Drosophila melanogaster: one gene and its partner. The protein of the gene in region 1 interacts with the protein of each later gene in a pairwise test. Each region holds a gene or a part of one and is shown in the gene's direction. Other genes may lie near its edges.

Region 1 (7,717 bases):
GTAGTATCTGCTAAAGACGTAAAGATGCGGCAACTATTTCTGCGCCTGGGTACTGAAACGACGAACTGAATAATATCTGCCATCAGACGCCAACCAGAGTGCGTTCAACACATACGTTTTGATGGTCAACTAGTTCAACCAACATCAGCATCATCGTCGTCAACAAGTCGACGGTTACAATAAAGATTTTTTCCAAGTTCGCTACGATCATCTCCAGAACCTTGTTGCGAACCCATGACATGGAGAATCAGCAGCATTTACGAACTTCTCGGATCATCCAGACACGCAGAGCTGCCTTCCCTTCGATGGTTTAACGCAGTACCAGGTTGGCAGTATGGGAACTTAGTGCACAACCAATGTTACCCGTAAGATCCGCTTTCAAATAGATTTGCCAATTGTAAAAAGTCTGTGGACAGCCTTCGTCTTAGAAGGGGAGGAGTTAACACAATCACAAAACACCCGAAATATAGTCGTAAGCCTCAAGTGCTTTTCCCATCTATAGATCGAGCTTTACCTATAAGAAACTGTAACTTGTTAAGCTTTAGAGATAAGAACTCTTGCTATACTTAAGTTAGTCGATTTTGGAAGATTAGAAGCGTCGGTCATCGCCACGTACTTACTATTCGTCTCATTAAGTGCAGACCGCGCAAGCCCTATTGTAATTAATAAACTTACGCTAATAAATATATGGAAAATCTACTAAAATGATAATTTATATATTATTCTTCGGAGAAACCCGCAATGGGATCGATCGATAATGTTTACAATTTAAATTTTAAGTATACTTTTCTTTGTTCGATTATTTGGCATCGGCGAAGCCCACACGATCGTTGCCCATGTCAAACTCGGTGTAGTATTTGCCAATGAAAACGTCACCGAGGATCCACAAGGGTCCGTTTGGAGGGGGGATGTCCAAGCCCATAAAGCCGGACAGACAGATGGTCTTACCCATCTGGGCCACACGGAGAATATAGTCCTTGCCCTCGAGCTCGAAGGTCTTTCCGCCCAGCACAAACTTGATTACCGGCAATTGGGGAATGAGATCGCAAGAAACCACATACTAAAGTAAGAAATTAAGAGGATTAGCAGTGCTTCATGTGAGAACTTAGAGCATGGTACTCACCTGACCACCGATGATGGGAGTTCCACCAATCTTCTGGTTAATAGAGGTGGCCTCTTCCAAGGGCGCAGCAATTAGTGAGGTACCGGTGTCAGCGATCACCTGGCAACCGCCCTTGCACAGCTGCAAATCGCCAATGGAGGCGGCATCCATCTTGATTTGCCAGTAGGCCTTGCGGGTAACGGGCAAGTAGGTGAATTCACCAGTGTAGTGGTTGGGATCGGAGCCGCCAAAGATGATCTCACCGCCCTCGGGCGAGGCGGGATCGCGATTCAGGTAGAATGAGAACACCGGAGCGGAGATCAAACCCTGTTCGTACATGGCGTAAAATGGCGGCTTCACCTTGTCCACCGAGATGGAGTTGTAGCCCAGGCCTAGGATGCCGTCGAACTTGGCAGCTACGAAGACCAGGCCCGGCTCACTGAGCGCCTCAGCGAATGTCTGATCCTTGATGTCCAGGCCGGCAATGGACACCGTATCCGTGGACAGGTATCCGGACAAGCTGCCCGAGCCATACTGGATGGCGAACTCAGTGCCGTTCTTGGTGTAGGTCTTCGACTTGGAGGCATCGTACTTGTTGTGCATCAAACAGGCGATGTTGGTCAGGTGGCACTTCTTGGACGGCACCCACAAGTTCGAGGAGCCGGTGTCGAAAACCACACGGAAGTTCTGCGGTGGCGAGCCAATGGCAATGGGCCCATAGTACTGCGCGTCCATATAGTTGGACAGCGGTTCCGGCACATCACCTCCGCCGTACCTAATGCGCAATTGCTGCAGCTCCGTGCCCACATCCGCAAAGTGCCGGCGGGCCGACTGAAATTTGTGGAGCGGTACGCGCAGCAATCCGGGCTTCTCCTGCGAATTTGGGTGGGCCACGGCCGCAGCCAGGAAGGCGACTAGAAGCAGTGCAACCTTCTGCATTTTGATTTCTATGTTACGCTTCTCTGGTGGCTAAAACTGCAATGATCGCTGCAGTTAATTAAATATTGCGGCACAGCGAAAATGATTCAGCACAGATAATGTACTAAATTTGGCTTGGCGCGTCGTTTTGATTAGAGAGATTCGATAGTTTTTGTTGTAAACTAATGCAATTCTTTAATTTTCGGAATGTTTCTTTTTAATATTTCGCGTTTATGTATATATAATACAAATGTATCATTATTTCTACACATTTAGGAAGAGCTTGTATCATGACTACGATCTTACTTTAGAGACAATAAGGGAAAGCTAAAAAAGTATTTCCCATCTTTCATTTTTAAACGCTTTTATGAGCAAACAATTAACAATTATGATGAGCAACCTTAATGTATTAATTGATAATATAGATAACAATCGTAAGGAGCGGGTCGAAGCTGAATTTCGAATCTTTACTTGTATATATAAATTCTAATAAATTCATGATAACATGGAATTATATATTAAAATATGAATAGTAAGTTGTATTTTGAGCTTAAATGGTTCAAAAATATTACAAAAATAGTCTTCTTATAGTCACCTAAAATCCAGAGAAATAATTTTATACTATTGATTAAAATGAAATAAAAGTATTAAATATAGATAAAAGATATAGCTAATCCTTTCTAGTACTTTTTACAATCACTTATTACTCGACAAAGTTTGGATTTGACCTTAGCACAGACATCCAAATCGGAGATTAGGTCATCAATGTTCGTTCGGAACGGAGTAACTCTAGCAGTATCCTCGAATGACTGTTTGGCGCGCCGCATTCTTTCGTGAATCTCACTCATATCGAGCATCTTTCCAATAGAAAGCTCATGGTTGGTGGACAACAGTACCGAGAACAGAACGGCGGACTCCATGGAGACTTTGCTTCGATACCCAACGCAGGTTTTCTGCTCCATTTCATCGCTTTCCATGAGCACGGTTTGGCATCTTTTCAGGGAATCGCCTTTCTATAAAAATCGAGCAAAAATTAATATCATACTATTGGATTAAGAGAGTAAGAGATATAAGATTATAATGTGATGTGTAAGTGCCCGGATAACTGCATAAGGATAGATTAAATTAAATTAAAAAAAGGGTACTTATTGTTTATTAACGAAAGCAATTTTAAGTAAATACATTCATATTTATGCATGTACATAGTAAATTGGCATCAAAATTATTCGCCGACAGATATGCTTACCTTAATCTTCTTGATATCTTCAGGTTGGATAAAATGTTTCTGGCGCTGGACTACAAATCGAGCTGCAAGGTCACAATCCGGAGTGTACTGGTAGCCTTGGGCAACGCGCCTGAAGAATGGATGCAGATCCAGAAGCTTAAGGCGTTTTTGGGCCATCTCCGAAAGCTGATAGGTGTCCAGTTGGGGCAGAACTTCGGTTAGGAATAAATGGCACACTTCCTTGGCAGTGAGATCCCTGAAAGCCTCGTTCCTGGTGTTCCACTCCTTCCAGGCTGAAGCATCCTGGATGTAAAACAGACGGCACGACGCAACAGCGTAGTCGATCAACTCCCTGTGGATCGATTGTTCAGCATCGTGCAAAAGCGTAGATCGAGCAATACGGCCGATATTGGCATTAAATTCCGCTTCGTCCACAGTTTCGTCCATTTTCATTCCCAATATAAAACATTTTATTATAAAACAGTAAAGAATCGGTTTAATTTCAACGTGCGCTTTCAGATCTGCACTCTTTTTGTAATCGATAACTGCTGTGTATCGTATGCGGCACTGAGACTATTGAAATCTTAGGGAATGTTTAGGAAATAGGAACATCTGGAGTTAAATGTATTTCAAAACCGAAAGCCACAACTTTCCTTAAAATATTATGCCAAAAAAAAATCTACTAATATAAATTTAAACATAATACTTAATTCTTTATTTATGTTAATTCATAATAATTTCTCTTCCAAGGGAAGTGTATTTGGAGTGCGGCTACTAGCATAATTTTCACTCTCATTGAACAGCTGATAGAGTCGCCATATCGTTATACAGTTATGTTTACACTTGCTTCATATTGGCGCGAATCATTCAAGATTGTGGGTTAAATCGAATTAGTAAAAATCAAATCACGATTTTTCATTCATGTTCAGGTTCTTCCGCTGCAGGCGATGAAGCGTACGAAGGCGCAGAAGGCAGGTCCTTCCAAAAAGGCAGCAAAAAACGAGAAGGCCAGCTCCGAGCCCAAAAGTGACCAGGAAAGCAGCGATGAGGAGGCCTCCACATCGAAGGCTTTGTTGGTTTCTAAGCCGGATTACCAAAACTTCGAGCAGTTTCTTACCCACTTGGAACACCAGCGAGTCTGCACGGCAGCCAACATACAGGAGTTCTCTTTTCGAAAGAAACGAGTGCGCGTTCTGTCCAAAACCGAAGATGTAAAGGAATCCAGCCTAGGCGGCGTCGTCTACTGGATGTCCCGCGACGGGCGCGTACAGGACAACTGGGCCCTGCTCTTTGCCCAGCGTCTGGCTCTCAAGCTGGAATTACCCTTAACTGTGGTATTTTGCCTAGTTCCCAAATTCCTGAATGCCACTATCAGGCACTACAAATTCATGATGGGCGGCCTGCAGGAGGTGGAGCAGCAGTGTCGCGCCCTTGACATACCGTTTCACCTGCTGATGGGCTCCGCTGTTGAAAAGTTACCACAATTTGTGAAATCCAAGGACATCGGAGCCGTAGTCTGTGACTTTGCTCCGCTGCGTTTGCCACGCCAATGGGTCGAGGATGTGGGCAAGGCACTGCCCAAGAGCGTGCCGTTGGTGCAAGTCGATGCTCACAATGTAGTCCCCTTGTGGGTGGCCTCCGACAAACAGGAGTACGCTGCGCGTACCATCCGCAACAAGATCAACTCCAAGCTAGGGGAGTACCTCAGCGTATTCCCACCAGTTGTGCGGCATCCTCATGGAACTGGCTGCAAGAATGTGAATACCGTGGACTGGTCAGCTGCTTATGCTTCGCTGCAGTGCGACATGGAAGTGGACGAGGTGCAGTGGGCCAAGCCGGGGTATAAAGCAGCCTGCCAGCAGCTCTACGAGTTCTGCAGTCGTCGTTTGCGCCATTTCAATGACAAACGAAACGATCCCACGGCAGACGCCTTGTCCGGACTCTCGCCGTGGCTGCACTTTGGTCATATTTCGGCTCAGCGCTGTGCACTGGAGGTGCAGCGGTTTCGAGGACAACACAAAGCCTCGGCGGATGCGTTTTGCGAGGAGGCCATTGTGCGCCGCGAACTGGCGGATAACTTTTGCTTCTACAACGAGCACTATGATAGTCTTAAAGGTCTAAGTTCTTGGGCATATCAAACGCTAGATGCACATCGCAAGGACAAGCGAGATCCCTGCTACAGCTTAGAAGAACTAGAAAAGGTTCACCACGGATTCTTTTTCTTTTGATTTGAGACTAAAATGATTTTATAATTTTTTCCTAGTCTCTCACTTATGACGACCTGTGGAACTCGGCGCAACTGCAGCTGGTACGCGAGGGAAAGATGCACGGCTTTTTGCGCATGTACTGGGCCAAAAAGATTCTGGAATGGACAGCGACACCGGAGCATGCGTTGGAGTACGCAATCCTGCTGAACGACAAGTACAGTCTGGATGGTCGCGACCCCAACGGCTATGTGGGCTGCATGTGGTCCATTGGCGGCGTCCATGACATGGGCTGGAAGGAGCGGGCTATCTTCGGTAAGGTTAGGTACATGAACTATCAGGGATGCCGTCGCAAATTCGATGTAAATGCCTTTGTCATGCGATACGGCGGTAAGGTGCACAAGAAGAAATAAAACGTTTTCGGATTTGCCTTTGTTTTGAATGCAAGCCAAGAGCATTTTTTATTTAACCATAGATCCAAGAGGCTTTATAAAATATGACAAAATTACAGCTAGCGGGACAGAACTTAGTCCTTCTCGGCGATCTTGGTGAGGTGTTCCTCGATCTCCCGCTCATCCAAAATACGGAAAGTGGGATCAGACTTGCTGACCACGCCGATCTCAATGCCGTTCGGCTTGAAGTCTATAGCGAGCACACTGGACAGACAGGAGATGGCCAGCTGGATCGCTTTCTCCTCCGACAAGTTGGGCTTGTACTTCTTTTCCAGATAGCTGTTGGCCTCCAGAGTCTTGGCACCCACGCTGCAGGCCTTGAACCCGCTGAAGTAGCCAGCCGGGTCCGTCTTGTAAACGCTGGGGCCGATTTCATTGTCGTAAGCGATCAGCACCATGCTGCAGCCGAGCGGACGCATCTCGGCATTCTGCGTGTACACCTGGTTGATATCCGCAATTCGACGACACAGCACATCCACGGGCATTTCGTAGCCGTACTTGTAGCGGAAGTTGGCGGCCTCGTATCTGGCCTTCTGCACCTGTGAGCGGGAATCAGCTAGGGGAGAGAAATAATTTTAAGTATTTAGTGACACTCTTGGGTTGATATGTCCTCTTTTCTAGTTGAAGCACCGTGTGAAAACTACGTTTAAAATGGCTCCACGCTATACGCCTTTGCCCTAATGTCTGGCAGGCTATTTCTTCTGATTTTAGCACAATCATAAGTGAATCGCTACTTGGTTACATGGGACATATCAACAATGGGATAACTCTGTGCTAACTCGACTGGAATTTGACTCGAATCACGCCGGGATAAACAAGAATTTAAAGTATCTATGGTTCATACCTATGCGTCCGGTCATTGCGCATCCAATGTCCTTGGTGATGCGGAACAGGTGGGTCACCGTTTCAGGCACGATGTTCTTCTCGGTCACTTTTTTTTGGGTGGCCACCACGGCACAGTCGCCACTCTTCAGCGCCACCGTGGTGATGTTCTCCTGGGCAATAGCCTTGAAGGCGTACTCTGGCGGGGAAATGAGAATGTCAGACTGGATACAATGGAGCCGCAAGTGCCAGGATACTAACCCACTTGGTAGAGGCGTCCCTCCGGAGAGAAGATCGTGATGTGTCTGTCAAAGCCGGCTGAACTTCCGCGAGACATGATGCTTTCTTCGTGCTTCGATAGCTGCAATAGACAACGCCGGTTAAAATTCAGTTCTCAAGTCTGCCGCAAGCAACACACCTTTTGAACAATTAAAATTTACAAATTTGTATATAGCAGGGAAAATGTCGCTTCAAATCGAACCTACTGTGCAAAATTCAGATTGTCATTCTCAGCCCGAAAATGAACCTAAAAAATACCAAAAAGAAACGCGCGCTGGGATATATCGTTTATCATTGAAATCGAATATTTGGAAAAAGCCAAAATAGTGTTAAGCTACGCTTACAAAATGTTTAAATTATTCCTATTTTTATTTGTGAATTATTGTAAATTAGTCAACATAGAGCAAAGGGATTTGTAAAAAAAAATATTAACAAACATATGTAAATTGAAGACAAAACTTTTACTGCTCAGTAACGTTATCTTATATAATTTTTGTTGAGGCTTACAACGTTATTTCTTAAGAAAATGTTTGTAAAAAAAGCTATTGAGCGCAAGCTAAATCTAACTGGAATTAAGGCAGTTGGCCGTAACTAAGCACAGGTGAACCTATCGACAATCGATAACGTCGCGGTGCCGTGCGTAAGTGATGGCCAACTCTAGCTGGATGTAACCATTGAGAATCGAGGTAAATATTGGTCAATAACAGCGGAGAAC
Region 2 (9,304 bases), on another chromosome or scaffold:
GAAAAATCAATTTATTTTGAAAACAACAATTGATAAGCGTTTAATCAGCGAGTGAGTGATAATTCGCGCAGATAGCATTTAACAATAACAGAAGATAAGTGGTAAGCTCTTCAAGCCAAATCACATATATGTGACATAAATTATAGGGTAGGTAAGTCACCAACAAGCTGTTATAAATATGATTTGAAATATAAGAAAGCACGGCTAATTTTTGATTATTTAAAAATGAGCAAAATTAATTATTAATTAATTAATCCGAACAAATGCAGCAATCTTTTTTTGCAAAATCCACAGCTTTGAAAACCGGCAATCACACGGAGGCATAACAACTTAATCAACTGCAGCTGAGCTTCCACAAATCTCTCGAAGTAAATGCATTTTGGCCAATATTGAACAACGCCACTTCCACCTTTCGCTGGCTTGGCTTGGCCAAACCGAAATCGTTAACTAATTACACTTTAATTAACGCAATAAACGTATAACAAAAGACGTAAGCAACAACAAATGCCGGTGGAAAACTAACGAAGAAAATAAAAACCAACCTCAAGATGAAAACCACTGCTCAAATTATTAAATTCGTTGCATGAAGGAGAACCAAAGTCGAGAGCATAGCCAGTCGCAAAAAAACGGGGAAGTTTAATAACATTTTGAATAATGAACGGCAACCAAAAAAAATCGGTTGAATGCAGCGCTAAAAATGCGAAACGAATGCACCGCAGCAGAAATCCACATGCCACACGCGAAAAGCGGAAATGTCTTTGGAGCGATGCCGCATTTTGTTTTCCTTAAAGTGCCGCTTTAAATAAATATTTATACCCTGGAAAAATGTAGTTTATCGTTTTAAGATTTACTTAAAAAATTCGTCAAATATTTATTGTTTTAAGAGTTCTAAAACATTACAAAGCTAGATATTGTCAAAAGAATTTCGTATCTACTTAATTAATTAATTAATTTAATTTAAATAAATGTTTTTGGTTTCCAGAAAAGGAATCTAAATCTTTTTGTAGAATTTTTAAATAATTACATATATGTACATCATTTTGATGGGTACTCAATATGTCTATACTTATGGATTCGTTTTGGTTTTCCATCGGCGCTGCCAATAAATTTTCGCCTTATCAAAAGCGCAGTGCAATTAACTGTTTTCATGCTCTGCTATTGACCAAATTCTCACCGACTCTCTGTGGAGTCGACTCTTCCTCTCTTAAGTCGAGTCATATTTCCAGTTTTCTTTCATCGCCTGTGGTGAGTGGAGTTTTTGAGTCGCGCTTATATGCGCTGCGCAGCCGCATTTGCTTCGTCAGTTTGAATCTTGGCTTGCAGCTGTGAAGATATCTACGAGAGTCAGGAAACTCGCTATAACTTTAAATCGTTTTGTATTAAATAATAATAAAGTGCAGTAATATGTCGGGATTAATGAATGGCTTTCTGCTTTTGTTCGCCTGCAATTTGCTGTTGGCTGTGCACGTATCTGCCAATAAGCAGCAGAAAAATCAAAACCAAGGTAAGATCGTCGACTTGGGTCAGCAAGAGAACAACGTGACTGAATCATCCAGGTTGGGCGAAGAAATTCCCAATGCCAAGTTCTTTTGCTGCGCGCTGTTCTAGCCAGACCAAAATAAACAGAAACCGGTTACCAGCAATGCCGGCTATCTGAGAGATGAGTGAACTTCAACGGTTCGGTGGATAAGGTGCACAGAAATGGTAGGCTCAGGTGGTTCTAACGGTTACTTACGCGAAGAAAGCACTTAAAAGTGGCCAACAAAAGAAAAGGAGAGTTATAGTCTATAAATGCTTAAAGAAAGTTGAAGAACTTAAGCAGGCTTTTATGTTTAGTTACTTGCATTTTTTTAATTGGAACAATTATACCTAGTTTACTAAACGTACAACATTACATTAAAAAGCAAAAGAAGCAGATATTTTTACTTAATAGCATAGAAACGTGTTACATAAACCACCTTTAATGTCAAGCATGAAATTGTTTCGCCCTATTGCAGAAATCTGGGAACAAGACCTTTCGGACACCTTTAAAATCGAGGGCAGCGACCAGGGCATTCAAAAGGTTAACCTCAAGTGCGGAGCGGACTCCATGAACGTGGTGCTGGAGACGGAGAAGCCTTTCATGGGTGTGATGTACACTCGTGGCAGCTTCTACAAGCAGTCTGCGCCGTGCTTCATGAAGCCATCTTCCAGCCAGGGATCCCGCACAATGGAGATGAACTTCCAGCTGGACCAGTGCCAGACGATCCGGGATGGTGATCTCTACACCAACATCGTGGTGATCCAAAACGACCCAGAGCTGATCACACCCGGAGATTCGGCCTTCTCGCTGGAATGCGACTTCCGGCAGCCTCGCAACCTGGACGTGGAGGCCAGCATGCAGGCCAGGGACAGGTAAGGTGGCGGATCTGAGTCCGAATCTCTGATTACGATCTCTGATCTGCATTAGAAACCCACAAAAGTTGCGCGGAGCACGCGGTGGAGCCCGCCAGCGCCAATAGATCTTTTCAACCAATCTAGATCTTTCCTCTTCGACTACAATCACCTCCAAAAGCTGTACATAAGGTACAAGAGAGATGACCAGTTTTTTTGCTATACCCCCAAAATCTAATACCAGCCAAGTAGCGCTATACTAACCATACATAACTAACTTTGGTACACAACAATCAGTTACGGCCCAGATAGGTACTCATAGGATATTCGAATATTTATCCGAATTATTTAGTCCACTTGTCACACCACCAGTACAATACCCGCCCACATACATGCATTCCACAGAGTGGCCACTGGTTCGAAAATCACACTCACAAGTCCTGATCCCGCGGCACCCACGGAACACCTACATAACTCGGTGGTCAGCAACAGCGACTCGGTCGCATACATACCAAAGTTCAGTCGGCCAAATAGAACCATACACCTGGGCTCCGTGGAGGAGGTGACGCTGCCATCGTCCTCCCAGGCGCGAGATGAGCTCTAGGAACACCTACACTCCACGAAACGATACTTAAATAGAACACAAGATACTCAAAGACATTATCACAACACTTAAAGAAACACCACAGAGTACAGGTGAGGCGACAGGACACGCTTTGGTTGCCAACTGTGTTTTTGCTTGCTAATGTTTGCTAAATATCGATTTTGCGATCCTATACTATATTATAATATTGAATTATTTACAGGAAATTAGCACAGAATGCGACGCAGGCGCCAACGGAAGCAAATTGATGGCAATTGTGCGGCAAATGCATTAACACCACTTCATGTATTTTCATTTAAATGGTTTTTCATATCCTGTGATATTTTTTAAGTTTGTGTTTAATAAAAACTTGGCAAAAGTAATCCATTTTTCTGTTGAAATATTTATACAATTTGTAAAGTCCCAAAGATCGTCAACGAAGTTTTATGTGACACTTTCCCTAATATTAAATCCATAAGCATTTTGGTGTCGATTCAGTTTTAATTTCAAAATATAATTTCACGCGCCAATTTAAAACCCACCAGTTGCTTTGTAGTGTGACCATATTCGTTGTTGATTTCCTGCTCACTATATTTTGTGTAGTATTTTTGCTAGCCTGTGCGGTCTCACTGTTGGCGAAAAAAAATAAACAAAAGTCCCGTAAAGACAAACTAATTCGCACTACTTGCAAAAAAATTACTAGTTACTTAGGTTTTTGACCTTGAAAAAGGTAAAGTTACTGGTTAATGACCACAACAACTCAAGTGGATTATATAGATCTGTGGAAGGGCAGTCAATTGACCGTCTGGCCGCACTTTTTTGCACTTATCACTGCGCAGTCACAATTGCAAATTGCACAAAGAACGTCAATATTTATAAATCGAATTAACGCTGCACCCGTCAAGTGAATCTTCCGCCGACGAATGGATCATCGTGTTTTCCTGTCGCTGATCTTTGTGCTCAGCGGCACCTTCAACGTTCTGGTGGTGAAGTGAGTACCAAAAGATCGCTTAATAATAGTAAGTAATAGTGCTAAATAAATGTGCACTCGATGCTGTGTGTGCGTGTACGCATTGCAGGTGGGCCAATCAACAACAGGTAATCGGCAGCGATGGAAAACTTCATGGATTTCAACATCCAGTGGTGTTCACACTGCTCATGTTCCTGGGCGAGTTCCTGTGCTTTGCGGTCTTCAAGGTGATCCGCCTGATCTCCAATCGTCGTGGAGTAAGTTCCAATGCCGGTTGGTTTATAATCGGCAAAGCTTTTGTATTTAAGGAACTTTTAATCATCTGGCAATCATACACAGGTTATATCCGATCTGGATAGCATCTTGTCGCAGGACAGCAGTGAGTTCCGCCCTGTTAGCATGCTATTGCCCACTTTGCTGGATGCGGCAGCCTCCATTCTGTTGTTCACCGGACTTTACTTGACTTACGCCACCAGCTTTCAGATGATAAGAGGTACTTCTATCAGACAGTGGCCTTGCTTATCATTACTTACGTCGCCTCATCTTTCCCGCAGGCGCCGCCCTGATCTTTGTGGGCATCTTTAGCACCATGTTTCTGAATCACACGCTGACCGGACGGCACTGGCTGGCCATCTTTACGATATCGTGCGGCCTGCTGGACATTATCAGTCTGGACGTCCATCGCGTTGAATACGACCTGGTCACGTTGCCTTACACGGACTACAAATCCATTCTGACCGGCGACTTACTCATCATCATTGCTGAAATTCTGCACGGACTGCAATATGTTTGCGAGGAGAAACAGCTAAAAACCTCGAATGTTGCTCCACTGCAAGCTGCTGGCTGGCAGGGAATCTTCGGCTTGGGCATCACCTCGATGCTGGCCATTTGCATGAACTTCCTGCCGAGCATTGATCCATTTAGCTGTAGTTCGCGTGCAGTTTTCGACGATTGGGGTGATCTCTTTGCGGCTCTGCAGGGGAGTATCTCATTGATTATGACTCTGATTGCCTTCACCATCTCATGTGCCATGTACAACTTCATTGGACTGTACATTGCGATGTACTCGTCCAGCGCCAACCGGCTTCTGGCCGATGGCCTACGCGTTTACTTCATCTGGGTGTTTGTGATTATCATGGAGTGGGAGTACATGAATCTGGTCACGATCATGGGCTTCCTCATCCTGCAAATGGGTATCATCCTCTACCGACAGGCCCTATTCCTCGACTGGTATCGAGCTGCAGTGGCCCGCTGGTATCGTGCTCGTTACGTGGATTTGGGTACTGAGAATGCGGCTGCTCCGAACAGCCGGCCAGCGGATGTGATCTAAGGTGACTGAGGAGTAGCTGAGGTGAAAGGATTGTGATGAGAGAGATGGGCTGCAAATCAACCCTGGGCTGATTCTTGAAGATTACTTATCGATTATATGTATAGATGCAATAAGAAAATACACACATTAAATGTTAATTGAGCTCCTAGAAGTCATTTCATTTCATTAAATTCTAAATATTGGTTTATATAGGATAATTCCTCTATGATGTAGCCGTCCAATTTGGGAAAGTTTCATACAGATAGCTTCAAACCTGGGGAACTAGCTTGTGTAGAAGACGGACGGATAAAACGGACATGGCTTAATCGACTCGGGGATAAAAAAATTCTTATTAATATGAGGGGGGGGAAGAGACCTTTAATTATAAGTTACACAGATTTCGTTCGCTCGATGCCCAGAATCTTCTCGCCCACACCCAAAAAATAAAACATTTGCGCGATACCAAATAGTGGAGCTAGCACCATTATCCGACATAGACCGCCCTTAAAGAATGCACTTATGCCCTCTTCCTTAAGGGTCCTATTTACACAGTCCATGATGCCTTTGAACTTCTTCTCGCCATCGGCCTGCAGTCGAGTCTTGACCACATCAAAAGGGGTGACCATAAAGGCAGAAGTCATGCCAGACAAGAGTCCAGCTATCAGAGACCAGTAGAAGACCGCTTCCCCAGAACCATCTGACTTGCGTGGCCCCTGGTCATTTATCCAGGCCATTAGCGGAAAGTACACCATCGAGAACGTAATATCCCGCACTCCAGTGGCGCCCACACCCTTGTATAAACCGAAGATTCCACGCTCACGAAGGAGCGTCTTGGTCAGACCCAAGGCCGTTATAGTTTTCACCTCTCGTCCTGCCGCTCGGTCGGCAGCAGCCACCCGCCCGGCGTCCTGCATCTGTATCTTGAGGAGCTCCATGGGCGTGGTGACCACGATCTGGAATAGCCCGGCCAGGCCCCCGGCCAAAGTAGCCCGTGACAACGGAATAACCCCGTCATCGGATGCCAGATGATACCGAAAGAAGTCGTTGGCGGTCAACTTGATGGCTTTCTCGGGCGTAATCAGCACGATGTTCACCGCTGAGCCTCTGTACATTCCAAAATAGCCTTCGCTGGCGATAGTCTTTCGGAAACAGTCGGCGCTAAGGCAATAGAGTTCTCCATTAGGCGGATAATAACAAAACACAACCCAAACCGAAAACCCAAAACTCACATGCTGGTGTACATGCGCTCTCCATTGGGACCTATTGTTTGGTTTTGCAGTCGCGTCTTAACCATGTCCAGTGGATAGACGCATGCCACTCCAATAATACCGGCGACGCCGCCATTTATAATTTTCGGAAAAACGCTGTGATGGGTTCGCAATTAAGTATAGGTTGTAGTATTAACCATATGGTAGAACTTATTAACTTAAACTTTTGTGGTTTTTTTTGCTCTTGGTTCTTTTGCTCAACTTGTTCCAACATTTTTTTTATAGGCCAAGAAATAATTAATGTTGTACGAAAATTTTGAATTTACATTAGTATATTTCGTTAGTTCAATTCTGACGGTTTTTATAAAGCATACAATTTCTCTAGTCATGTTCTTGAATGCCACTAAAAGTAAATTTCGCCTGGCAGCAAAGAAAAATGCATTACTAATACAATTTGATGCAGAACGTTCATGGCTAGCTGCGGATTGCTCGGGAAATAAAGACTAAATAGAGAGAGTATCCAAACACAACAGTTATAGACTATGATATTAACCAAAAATGTACATTATATCAGCGATTAATTTGCTTTATCTTATTGTCATTGGAGCATCAGTTATCTTCTGACATGGTCTAAATACATATGTAGTACATCGTTTGAGTAGTTTAAGAGGATTGGGGAAAACTTTAACAACTTCGCTGGCTGGCGCATCGTTCGATTACTTTAGCTTACTATAGAGACTTCACGATTACATTCATGGACAGCTTTAACAACATTTAAACACGATATACATACACATTCAATATTCAAAGAGAGTACATTTAAAATGCTTCGGTCTTGTCAATCCGCCTTGGCGCGCACTCATTCCAAGCCGCCCTACTTTTTCTGATAGCCCAGCAGGCCCTCGGCCACGCCCAGATAGTAGACCGTTTGAGCGATTCCGAACAGAGGAGCAATCACAATCATTCGGCACAGGCCGCCCTTGAAGAAGGCGGTGGGTCCCTCGTGCTTCAGTGTCTTACTATTGGAGAATTTATATGAGTTTAAGGATATATTGGCAACATTTCTTGAACTCACGTGATACAATCTGATATGCCCTTGAACTCCTTCTCACCGTCGGCCTTCTTAATCGCCTGCAGACGCGTCTTGACCACGTCGAAGGGATTAACTGCGAGGGCAGCGGTGGAACCGGCCGCCAAGCCCGCCAGGAAGGAGCACCTATTTAATTAGCATAAAATAAATATAAAAATGACAAATAGACAATTATGCTTTACTTACCAGAACACAGCCTCGCCAGATCCATCGTTTCGTCGTGGACCCAGGTCATTGAGAGTAGCGAAAAGGGGGAAGTAAATGATAGAGAAGGTGACATCTCGCAGTCCTGTGGCACCGATACCCTTGTACAGGCCAAAGATGCCCTTGTCCTTGATAAGCTGGGAAGCCAATTGGGTGGCCGACACCTTCTCCACCGTCTTGCCAGCCAATTTGGCCGCCGCCGCCACGCGACCCGCATCCTGCATCTGGATCTTGAGAAGCTCCATGGGCGTGGTGACGATAATTTGGAATGCACCGGCCAGACCGCCGGCAACCATCTGACTGGTCAGCGGAAGTTTGCCATCCTTGGTGGTCAGCTTGTGGCGGAAGTAATCGTTGGCGGTCAACTTGATGGCCTTCTCAGGTGTGATTAGCAGGATGTTCACGCCAGAGCCGCGGTACATGCCAAAGTATCCTTCGGCCTTGTACGTCTTGCGGAAGCAATCGAACCTACGAAGGTATTTCAAATTATAAAGCCATCTAGAGATTCATGCTTGCCTTTACTCACATGCTGTTGTACATGCGTTCGCCATTGGGTCCGATCTGCTGGTTTTGCAGCCTCGTCTTGACCAAGTCCAGTGGGAAGACGCATGTCACTCCGATGATTCCCGCAATTCCGCCGTTAATGATCTTCGGCAGCAGGCTGCAAATAGAAGGAATTAAATCGTTGGCAATTGACGCTATCTCATTATGCTTGGCTAATTGACAAATATTTGCACTGCGCTAACTTTGCATTCGCGCTGTGCAACAACAAAATGTAAACAATAGTCTTATTGGCTTTGAACTTGGCCCACATATACAATCAGGGCTCCTAAGAGACTACTATTGAACATACAATTAAAGCAGAGAAAAGGTCAAATGTGTTGATCATTAATAAGGAAGAAATATTTGGCGCACTGCCAAGGAAACATACATACTTATGTGTGATTGGTTATAATAGTACTATCTAGTCTTAGCTTGCTTCTATTTTCGGCTTGCATTTCTTTTTAAACAATCGACCAGAAGAAAAACAAAGTGCAAAATGCAATCATATTATGTCATAGTACTGCTATCCTTCTCTTCCGATTTGTCCTAGTTTTATTGCAACTATTTGAGGGAAATGTGGGTTGAAGGGGGAAAACTGTCTGATGGCTGAGGGCAAAGCACTTGAAAATGAAATGTGTATAAATGTCTATTCATGTGACGAGTCTTTAACGATGATAAACTCAAATACAGTGGATATTGGCTAAGGGAAACTAACTTTAAAACCAAGAACTTAGACTTTATTATTTTTGAGTTGAATAGCTATTAATCATAATATTTATTACACAAATGAACCCTTTGCGCTACCTTTGTTAATATAATTCCCAGGTGATTTTGTTTGGTTTGGCCGTGCAAAAATAGGTTTTGTAAAGCAAATATGTTTGTTTGTCTTTAAGATTAAATTACACAGGCTAATTGAAATGTTTATTGATAACTTACGCGAATTGCTGGTGCTGCGGCTGCGGCAGCGGCGTTGCGATGGTTGCACTGCTCGACATTCTGCGAAATACACACAACCATTAAAGAT

Evidence for each region.
Region 2: the proteins of phr (region 1) and Tango9 interact in a two-hybrid assay, tested with the Drosophila melanogaster proteins (one large-scale study listed by BioGRID).

The regions. Positions count from the first base shown.
Region 1 is NT_033778.4:7,821,426-7,829,142, forward strand, and holds phr (photorepair), read left to right. Parts: upstream 1-3,863; 5' UTR 3,864-4,078; coding exon 4,079-4,120; exon of another isoform or gene 4,121-4,174; coding exon 4,175-5,446; intron 5,447-5,508; coding exon 5,509-5,862; 3' UTR 5,863-5,894; downstream 5,895-7,717. Other genes in the region: cathD (cathepsin D), read right to left, coding at 800-1,060, 1,124-2,041; CG30383 (uncharacterized protein), read right to left, coding at 2,701-3,033, 3,267-3,698; Prosalpha1 (proteasome alpha1 subunit), read right to left, coding at 5,976-6,457, 6,746-6,922, 6,985-7,060.
Region 2 is NT_033777.3:11,969,189-11,978,492, reverse strand, and holds Tango9 (transport and golgi organization 9), read left to right. Parts: upstream 1-3,582; 5' UTR 3,583-3,879; coding exon 3,880-3,947; intron 3,948-4,035; coding exon 4,036-4,183; intron 4,184-4,265; coding exon 4,266-4,419; intron 4,420-4,480; coding exon 4,481-5,256; 3' UTR 5,257-5,624; coding exon of another isoform or gene 5,625-6,393; 3' UTR 6,394-6,464; coding exon of another isoform or gene 6,465-6,599; 3' UTR 6,600-6,661; coding exon of another isoform or gene 6,662-6,717; 3' UTR 6,718-7,317; coding exon of another isoform or gene 7,318-7,462; 3' UTR 7,463-7,486; downstream 7,487-9,304. Other genes in the region: CG10005 (uncharacterized protein), read left to right, coding at 1,405-1,504, 1,998-2,394, 2,779-2,977; GC2 (glutamate carrier 2), read right to left, coding at 5,625-6,393, 6,465-6,599, 6,662-6,717; GC1 (glutamate carrier 1), read right to left, coding at 7,318-7,462, 7,519-7,659, 7,720-8,205, 8,264-8,398, 9,217-9,275.